Schizosaccharomyces pombe: one gene and its partner. The gene in region 1 interacts genetically with each later gene. Each region holds a gene or a part of one and is shown in the gene's direction. Other genes may lie near its edges.

The links. A genetic interaction does not mean that the proteins touch.
Region 2: of iss10 (region 1) and mei2, changing one enhances a phenotype caused by changing the other (phenotypic enhancement), as found in Schizosaccharomyces pombe (one study listed by BioGRID).

What each region holds. Positions count from the first base shown.
Region 1 is NC_003424.3:2,609,050-2,613,520, forward strand, and holds iss10 (protein Iss10), read left to right. Parts: upstream 1-1,976; 5' UTR 1,977-2,050; coding exon 2,051-3,706; 3' UTR 3,707-3,953; downstream 3,954-4,471. Other genes in the region: phosphatidylinositol-3,5-bisphosphate binding protein Atg1802, read right to left, coding at 420-432, 473-1,242, 1,299-1,405, 1,480-1,553, 1,612-1,655; SPOM_SPAC7D4.13C (uncharacterized protein), read left to right, coding at 4,247-4,261, 4,334-4,471.
Region 2 is NC_003424.3:4,510,470-4,516,590, reverse strand, and holds mei2 (RNA-binding protein Mei2), read left to right. Parts: upstream 1-1,565; 5' UTR 1,566-3,298; coding exon 3,299-5,551; 3' UTR 5,552-5,608; downstream 5,609-6,121. UniProt on the Schizosaccharomyces pombe protein: Crucial for commitment to meiosis but it is not sufficient itself for the commitment. May be a splicing regulator.

The sequences.
Region 1 (4,471 bases):
TTTCTTCTTGGACTTGTTAATAGCTGGAATTTTTCATGGTTGGATTTTAGCGTTGTCAACGTGCCGCTAAAAATTTACTTTAATTTTATGGGTTTCTAATAGAATGTTGTTATCTTCGAATTTTTAATTCTCCTGTTTCGGTACAAATATTGAATTTATGGAATGCATATAAAATTTATATAGGATATATGATGCACTTGTAAGGTGTCTACCGTAATGATAATTTTTCACATCTGTACCGGTGTATAATATATTAGTGAAACACCAACTTATCGACATTAACATTTTAATAAATTATCTACAAAGGTCTAAACATAAATGATAGCATGTTCAGTAAATAAAAAAAAAACATAAGACCATGAAAGCTAAAACATTGTGAAGCTGATGTATGAGTAAATTTAAAACTTGTGCGCAAAAAGTTAATCGTCAAAGCTAGATATGTTAATAATCGAAAATTTAACAAACAGCTTACATGTAACGCTCAAGTAAAGCACAATTTCCTCCATTTTTAAGATTTACTGCGAACCGATAATAGTGTCCTGAATAAGAAGCTACTTGTATGTGCGGACCGCTGCTCGAAAAAATTATTTTTCCATAGAAAGAAGCTTCAGGAATCTTAGCAGTTGCAAATTCTTTCCTAGTGTCCCAAACTTTTGCTACATTTGAAGTTAAATATTTTGACCAAGAAGATGACACAGTTACGGAAGATGTAGGAGACGAATTCGGATCCGATGGTTGCTTAGAGATTTTGAAAACGTGAATAGTACCATTTTCAGAAGCACAAGCCAGAAAAGGCTCAACTGGGTGAAATGAGATAGATACAATGGATGCAGGTATATATCCCCTGCGCAATTCTGTCACCAATTCACCATCACTAGTTGTTATAACACGGATTACAGTTCCCTTTGCGGATGCAGTCGCAATCAAATGTCCACGCGGATGAAAGTCAACTACTTGGACAGCGGAAGAATGGCAATGAATCAATGTGACGGGTATTGCAGTATCCAATGAGGCTAAATAAATATCACCAGGGTTGGTCGGTGAATTATATGCAACATAATTCTCATGAACAGCAAAAGCTATAACATTTCCTTTCGAGGTATTTAGAGTATTAATTAATTCCATGTTTTTTAGATTATATACGTAAATACTCCCTTTAATTAAAACAACTAAACGATTCCATGTGAAACGTACACTTAGCACAGGACTCGGATAAAATATTCGGCATAAAACGATATCTCTCTAAAAATATGGGTTAAAATTAAGAAATCAATGCAGAATCTCAGTTAACTAATTACCTTGATGTCAACCAATTTTAGTAACCTCGTCGACTCAGGGGAAATATTCACGAAAGCAAGTAGAGAAGATTCATAAAGCATTTCACAAATACTTGCCCCATTGGCTTCTACAATCAGTAAGTTATAAGTCGTGTAAGATGGGCTTGTGTTTCCACTTCTCGGAAATTCATTGACAGCTTACTTTTTGAAAAGCACAGGGTAAACGGATTGGAGCGATAAACTTGATAGCCATTCTCAGAACCAATTGATAAAAAGCTAAATTTAGCAGTCAGTACAAAGATTGCACAAAATCTATTTTATGTGTGCCACTTACCCACGATCTTGATTCCACGAACAGTAAAGGATAATCGATGGCATTTCTCTTAAATCGACTGTTAATTTATTTAGTAGTTCACATTCACCCCTGTCTTAATACAATTGCTGATCACGTTCAATGGTAAAAGTAAAACAGATTTGTGCTAAGGCAGTGTGCGTAATTGAAGCAAAAAATAATGTGATTCGTACAATGCAAAAGCTTAACTTTGTAGTATCCAGAATATAAAAGAACCCATTTGAGCCTTTAGCAATTTTGATTAATGAATGTTTTTGTTATGTTTGTATTATGCAAGATAATATATACAGTGGTGCAGCGCTCCTTAATGGTCACCTCTACGCACATTCAAGAGCGTATATCTTGGCAACATCCAAATGTTGAATAAAACTTTTTTTGGGAATTCATGAATTTTTATTGTTTTGGTTAAATTTAAATATTAATGGATGCCGTTGAACCTTCTGTGGAGAAGGAATACAAAAAAATAATTTCTTTTAGAGATACTGTGTTTGAAGGGAAACATCAACAATTTTTGGTTCCGAACAATGTTCGTTTAAAATTTTTAAGAGATAGATTACATAAATCTTTAAAAAATTTTGATTCTGTTAAACGGAAAGTCGAAATTGCAAATGATGAAGGTAATAACAAACTCCTGAAATCATCACCCAAAGCACAAACCAGAGATGAAAATACTCCTTCTGAATTTAAGAATGGAGGTTTTAGTAACAGAGAATCTATGTCCGAAAACTGTTTTTCTAAATCATCTACTAATTTACCACGGCTAGACATTAACCGTGATTTTAATTCCTTACTTAATAGTCAAACAAAACCTGAAGCCACTGGTTTGATGAAAGAGGATATTACTCCCGTTGTAAACACTAGCAAACAATCTTCTACTGGGACTCAAGAGGAGTCCTCAAAACCGGAAAAATCTAATAAATTGTTAGCAAAGAGTACTTTATCTTTGTATGGGAATCAAGCTTTTAATCCTTCTTCAGTTCTTCCTAGCAATTCTTCATCAACGCCTAAGGAAAATAAAAAAAATGTGAATAAAGAGACATATCAACCGAACACTTTTCGCCGTAGTCCGTTGAAAAATGATACTGGATCAGTGGAGTTATCAAACCTGTATATGCCGTCTCCACCATCATCTGCGCTTCCCGTATCGCTTGTGTCAGCTCCTTCTCCTCCGAGGGCAACTAACGTTGCAGTCCCGTGTCTTAAACATTTGGAATCGAGTGAGCAGGGCAATAACCTACTTATTAACAAAGCTTTTACTTCTCCTCGCCTTCCTTCACCTCCCCAGTCAACAAGACCTAGCTCTACTAGGTTTCCTTCGGTTCCTTTATCAGATGAAAAAAACTCAATTGTCTCCGTAAAAAACGAAGAGCCGTCTGTCATTCTGGGAAATCAATCACCAATTTCGGATTTGCATCCGTATTCTCCATCTTGGATCCCCTATCCAAAGGAATTGCAATCGCTACAAGTCAATCGAATACCTGAGTTGTCCTTGGAGAACAATGTCATGTCAACTCGGGATTATAAGGATATAATGCCTCACCCTCGTCCTTCTGCTGTCCTTTTAGATAAACCGGTTTCTTTAGATCAAACTTCTCATCCTTTCCCTCATCAAAATACTTATATTCTACCTCCGGGGATAAGGAATTCTGTAGACTATGACGGCACTTTTCTTTCCCGTAAATCGCTTCCTCCTTATAATGGCATTCATCGTCTTCATGAGAGCCCTTCTCAGTTTTCAAATCAATCAAGATATAATTGGGAGCCAATTTTAGAAAATCGCTCCCTGCTCCATTTGAATCGTCCGCCTCCTATTGAAACGCACTATTCATACGAATCTAACAATTCATCGTTTTCTCCGTATTACCATAAACGGCATAGACAGATTTCTCCATACTACCCCACTTCCTCAGTTTATGGAGTTTATGAAAGTCCGCCTCACATGTCTGATTCTCGTATTTCTCGGCAGCATATGCCTTTAACGCATACTACTTATGAGCCTTCTGCGCCTTATTATAACGACTATGAATTAGCAGAGGAAATTGAGAGGCGTCGTCATCATAGCTTTTATGATTATTAGCTATACTCTTCCGTAAGTGCGCGCAACAATTTAAAAATTGCTTGGCGGAATATTTGAATTTGCATGTTTTTGTTTTAACTTATAAAGAAAATTAAGTACCTTTAGTACTGGTAATGTTTGATGTACATTTATTATAGTAGATAGAATATTCATGTTGCATAAATTGGTTTCGCACTTTCAGTTAACATTTTCAAATTCATTTATACATAAATACTTTTTTAGATGATTAATAAGAGGCGTTTCATAAATAGTATAAGTACTTTGTAAGCCTATTCTAATGGATGTGAATAAACAAAGAGACTATGGATTATGTGAATAGTTATATTACTTTCTTATTCGATAATCAAATTTTAAAGCTCCCAAATGCAAGATTATTGAAGAAATTTTGAAAAAGTTTCTTTAGTTAACATTAGCATGTAAAAGACACATAAACCCTAATTGACTGTAACATAAGAGACCTTTTACTTACGTCTACAGCGATTATTCTACTGGACTTAATAAAAGCAAAATTCGGACGGTCGAAACAACTCATTTAGACGTATGAGTCTATTTATTGTAGGTTAGCTTTTTGAATGAATATTACATATCATTATTTTTCTCTTTCTTTCTCTAACTACTAAAACCTAGGGTACTCATAACATCAAAAACTCAGCAATACAACTTTTAAAGACGAAACTGAAAAATGAATTTTTAAAGGGCGTTAAATGTATTACTAAATATCCCGAAAATGCACATAGCATTTTTAAAGTTCAAGAATATACTGGA
Region 2 (6,121 bases), 1.9 Mb from region 1:
ATATAAACAACCATAGAGATAGAAGCGGTTTCTCAGGCCTTCATTTTTTTTAAACCTCAAAATTTAACTTTTGAACAATTCGTCACGTACATCAAACATCATAAACGTTTACGAAACGCATTGTCCCAAAAATAGTAAACTGGCTAAGCAATAAAACAAAAAATACACATATGTTTCTTATAAGACCTTTAATAAGAAAGCCAAAAAATATTTACTCAGCAAAGCTTTAATCTAACCATTGTTCACTGACTCTCGCTTTACTGAAGCAACATCGCTAATGATCATTTTACGTTTAAAAAAAAATAGAGTGTATACGAAAGCAAAACAAAACAAACAAAACAGAACAAAACAAAAATAATGTAAACCCAAAGTATAATCAAAAACCATCATCAGCCTTAAAATCTCTTATACATGCATACAAATCTTTTGGAATAGAATAAATATATCGCTTTTACTCTTTTTTTGTTCTGAATTCCCAACCTCTTTTTAATTGCCAAAAGTTATTAATGCTTCCTTCTTACTTGTCTTCGAGCACTTCTACAACCGTGGTACACACATATTTACCGATTTATACGTGATACATTAAAATCGAATGCGGCGTTTACTAATGTTTATAAACAAAAACGTGAGGTTGTCTACATTTACCTTCTCCACTTTTGCGCATAAAGCATTGTTTTCAAATCACTCAATAAATGCGATCTAGTTTGATCGTTGGCTAATTGGATTTCAGTGGGGAATTTTAATTGCCGAACAGCTTTATAGTTTATGTGAAAAGAAAAGAAAGTGAGCAAGTTGCTAATATTAAATGATGTAGTTATCTTTCATGCCAGAGAACAATCTGGATGTCAAACGACCTCTGTGTAAAACGCGCAAATATAGGAGACGCATGCGCTGAATAAGGGTTGAAAGAAGAAACACTGTTAAAAGAGGGTTTTGCATTGGCGAAAAAAGATGTATGGAAAAAAGCACGCGTAAATAACAAAAGAAATCCTTACCGAATTATACAGCAAGGTGGAGATTACTACACTAATGAAGGCAAATAAAAAATGTGATTTCTTTGACTTGTCCATGTTTTTCGGGATGGATACAACGTTGTTTTTTATCTATCATCTTTTTCAAACTTTCAAAAGGACTAACTTACCTTTACAAGCTATACACTAATTACCACTGATTTGAATAAATAGCCTTTTGCTTCAGTAGACAAAGCAAACACCATAAAAGAAAATGCATTTAGCGTTTCTCGCTATTTACTCTATCTAACGCGAGTCGCGTTGGCTTTCAATCTGTCCAAATTGGATCAGTTGTCCCGCTTTTTATGGGATTTTTTTTCCATTATCGTCCTCTTATATTAGAGCTTACTGACATCGCATCATAACTTTAGATAGAGTAACGAAAGCCGACCGATTTCTTTGTTCCTATTTTAAAGTTTCTTTGTTTTACAAACCCTTCTCGAGCTAGCCCCTCAGGGGCATTGCAAAAACGTTCACAGTAAATGCCTAACAGTAAAGGCTACTGAAATTTTCATCGTAGGTCTATAAATTTCGTTGATTCCCTTTGTTTTCAACGCTTTGTTTTCGCCACTGAAAGCTGCTGTTGAGATTCTTTGTTTACTTGGCTTACTTCGTTTCTTTGTTACTCTTCCCACTTTGTGTTACACGGGACAAAGGCAGGGGTAGCATAAACAGTACGTCCCATTCAATCAAGCATTCTCCCAGTAATTGTCGTAATATTTGCGAGCAAATAAAGTCCTTTTTGACTTTGTGATTTCTTTGAAATAACTTCTTTGTTCTCTAATTACTGTATCTCATTATAAAGCATCCAAGCCCTCTCATTATTCCCAACATACAATCCATCCTTCCTCCAGCAATCCGGCCGGACAGATTGTTGTAATTATCTTTACAGAACTATTTTGGGCTGGCTTTTTGATTTGTACTGAAAAGCATCGCATTGCATTGCATCGTTTTTGTTTTGTTTCGCTGCTGCCATTTAGGCTGTCGTATATTTTGTTTGTCTGAAACTTAACGTTCCTTTGTAATAGAGAAAGCAAAAAATATATACCCCATTTTAAAAAAGGAAAGGGAAATTGCTTTTTTTTTTTTTTTTTTTTTTTTTACACCTCTAGTTAGTTGAAAAACCATATGGAAAAAACTTAAGTTTTTATACATCGTGCATTTACTTCTTTTCCATTACTCCATCCTTGCCAATTGTTTCTCTTACCGTTCGCATTTTCCATCTTAATAGGACACACAGCTGCCATCATCCGCGCCAATAAACCTATCGACCGTAACAAAACATTGATACGTTTATTTATCTAATTCATTTCTTTCCTTCTTAAAATCCCCACCCGCATCTTTGTTACCTTTGAACGCAGTTGCTACTTCTCTTTTCTTTGTTTGTTTGTTTATTAATTACTTGTGCCCACTCCGAGACCAACCATCGCTTTCCCATTCCTTGTTGAAAATAGCCCATAGTAGGCATTCGCAAAGAAAGTTCAAATTATATCTTTTACCACATTATCTACATTTTCTGGCTGTATTCTTGAATCCTCATTTTGATCTTTACCAATTTTTCTTGAATCGTTATTGTCATTCCCTGATATCTTTTTCTCTTCTTTGTCCTAGAATCGATTCCTTTCTTCCCCTTTTTTCGTGTGCTTCACTTTTTAATTCCTTTTTTTGCAACCTAACTGATACGTATATATACATTTATATATATACGATTCCAATCCATTTTCTCTTCATATACGCATATACATTTTTTCTTGTATATATGTGTAAAGTTTCTAATCGATTATTTTAAATTTTTACTTGCGCTTTTCTTCTGTGGTGACAATATCCCATCTTTTTCTTTTTTTTTTAAAAAAATTAAAGGGTAGTTTCCTAGTTTTATCCCGAAAATTTCTCCTCCTCTAACGTTTGTTATTCTTTTGTTAATTTTATGAAAGACAAGTTTGTTTGTTCAAATCTTGGTTGTTATTCTTTTCGTTTGATTATATACATTTGAACGACAATTGTGATTTATTGTTGATTTTTTCTTTTCATTTCATTATTCTTTTGTTCTTTTGCATTTTCTCATCGTTTGTTTGATTTACTAACAACCATCTAACCCCTTCCTTTCTTTTCAACTTTCTGGTCTTTTAAAGTTTGTATTAACTTAATCCTTTGCAGTTCCTTTCTCTCCCTTTCTTACCACTTCTAAACAAAGTTTTATAAGTTATTAGTCATTAAGTAATTTTTTTTACTCTTTATCTATTTTAAGGATTATCGGCCAGCTTTATTGTTGCCGTTTTAACACATAAATGATTATGGAAACCGAATCACCTTTATCAATCACCTCCCCTTCTCCATCTGATTCAACTTTTCAAGTTGATATGGAGAAAACAATGCATGCTTTGCCCTCAAGTCTTCTTGACTCACCATTACTCTCTACTAACGAGCATTACCCTCCCAAGAGTACTTTACTTTTGAGTGGTCCTTCACCCATCAGAAATATTCAACTATCTGCTACCAAATCTAGTGAATCAAACTCAATTGATTATCTTACGGATACTCAAAATATCTTCCCCAACTTTGTTAATAACGAAAACAACTATCAGTTTTCAACCGCTCCTTTAAATCCTATTGATGCTTGTCGAGTTGGTGAACGGAAAGTATTCACTACAGGTAATGTTTTATTGTCAGCTGATCGACAACCTCTTAGTACATGGCAACAAAACATTTCTGTTCTCTCAGAATCCCCTCCGCAAAATGGCATTCAAAGTTACATTTCAAGTTCTGAGCAAGCAGCTCAGGCACTAACTCGTAAACCATCTGTTACCGGATTTCGTTCTTCCTCGCTTAACTCTAATTCTGACGATATAGATATATTTTCTCATGCTTCTCGTTACTTGTTCGTTACTAACCTTCCTCGTATTGTTCCTTATGCTACTTTATTGGAGCTTTTTTCAAAACTTGGAGATGTGAAAGGAATTGATACATCTTCATTGTCTACGGATGGTATATGCATTGTTGCTTTTTTCGATATTAGGCAAGCAATACAGGCCGCTAAATCACTGCGATCTCAGAGATTTTTTAATGATAGATTACTGTATTTCCAATTCTGCCAAAGAAGCAGCATTCAAAAAATGATTAATCAAGGTGCTACTATTCAATTCCTTGACGATAATGAAGGTCAACTTCTCTTAAATATGCAGGGAGGTTCTGTTCTGAGCATCCTTCAACTGCAATCTATACTTCAGACGTTCGGTCCACTTCTTATTATGAAGCCTTTAAGAAGTCAAAATGTTTCACAAATTATTTGCGAATTCTATGATACAAGAGATGCATCTTTTGCATTAGATGAATTGGATGGAAGAATTATTCATAATTGCTGCCTTCAAGTCGCTTATTACGATGCAATGGCTGATTCAGTTAGCACCTCTTCGGCCTCTAGCCTCTCTGTTCCAAGAGGATTTAGTGGGATGTTAAATAACAATTCTGAATGGAACAACTCTATGACAATGTCTTCTAACCAAGAAACTCCCACTGCTGCTAGTTGTGCTGTTTCAAGAATTGGTTCGAGTTATGGAATGTCGAATAACTTTGGATCCGTTCCCTTAGGACGCACTGAATCATCTCCAGCTTGGGGAACAAGCGGATATTACGATGTCTCTTCAACTAGCCCTGTTGCTCCCAGTGATCGAAATCCTTCCAGGCAGTATAATTCGATAAGGTATGGTTTAGATGTAAATCCTATTGCACCGCCAAATTCCTCACGTCTTAAGCAAAGGAATAGTGATTTACTGAACGGAATTAATCCACAATGGTCACCTTTTTCCTCTAATACTGGTAAAGTCTTTGATTCACCAACAGGTTCTCTTGGTATGAGGAGAAGTTTAACTGTTGGTGCAAATGCATCATGTAGTAATCCTACAAATTTAAGTTTTGCCTCACTTACTCTACACGACTCAAAAGCAGATTCTACACTATCTGCTTCTTCTCTGAATCCGGACTTGAATCTCCAAAGATATACTCCTACTGTTGAAAAACATGCTTCAGATAGAAATTCTGTCGATTATGCACAAATTGCGTCTGGAATTGACACAAGAACCACGGTAATGATAAAAAATATCCCGAATAAATTTACCCAGCAAATGCTAAGGGATTACATTGATGTTACCAACAAGGGTACCTATGATTTTCTTTATTTACGGATAGATTTTGTTAATAAATGCAATGTAGGATATGCGTTTATAAACTTTATTGAACCTCAATCTATCATTACCTTTGGCAAAGCTAGAGTGGGTACTCAATGGAACGTCTTTCACTCTGAAAAAATATGCGATATCAGCTATGCTAATATTCAAGGCAAAGACAGGCTGATTGAAAAATTCCGAAACTCGTGTGTTATGGACGAGAACCCTGCTTACCGCCCGAAAATATTTGTAAGCCATGGACCTAATAGAGGAATGGAAGAGCCTTTCCCTGCTCCCAATAATGCACGTCGTAAACTAAGATCTATTGCTAGTGCCCAACAAATAGGCTTGTTTCCTCCAACTGCAAGCAAATGTTGATTACGAAAGAGATCCTGTATTGTTTATGTTTACCTATCGCTTTGCTTACCCTTTCTTTTCTATATTTTATTTTTGTTCAATTCCAAAGTATATTATGATTGCTCCAAAAACTTCGGATGTTTTACAAATTGCAAGAATTTGCCTGCTTGTGTAAATTATATTCACTTCAAATATATGATGTTAATTTATGTTTCCAAATGGGAACGTTTTACGAAAGTATACTTATTCGATTTAATTATTAATAATGATTGATCATTTTTTGTATACGAATTTTTATGCCATAAGTTTATTATGATCAATGACGGCTCAATGCTAAATTTATGATTGCCTCAAATTTTATGTGACAAAGATCTAGTTATAGTGAACGTGCTAAAATTAACTTGTATTTTGACAAGATGGTCAACTTCACTCTGAGTATCGATATGTTTTATTCAAAATACATACTCTTACTTGAGACCTGTTTAATAAATGCCACATTGAAAAAAATGTTTAATTTTATAATTTATGCAAATAACGAGTTAAGGACAATTAAATTCCCCTTAACACAACTATTTAATCAGATAATTTCAA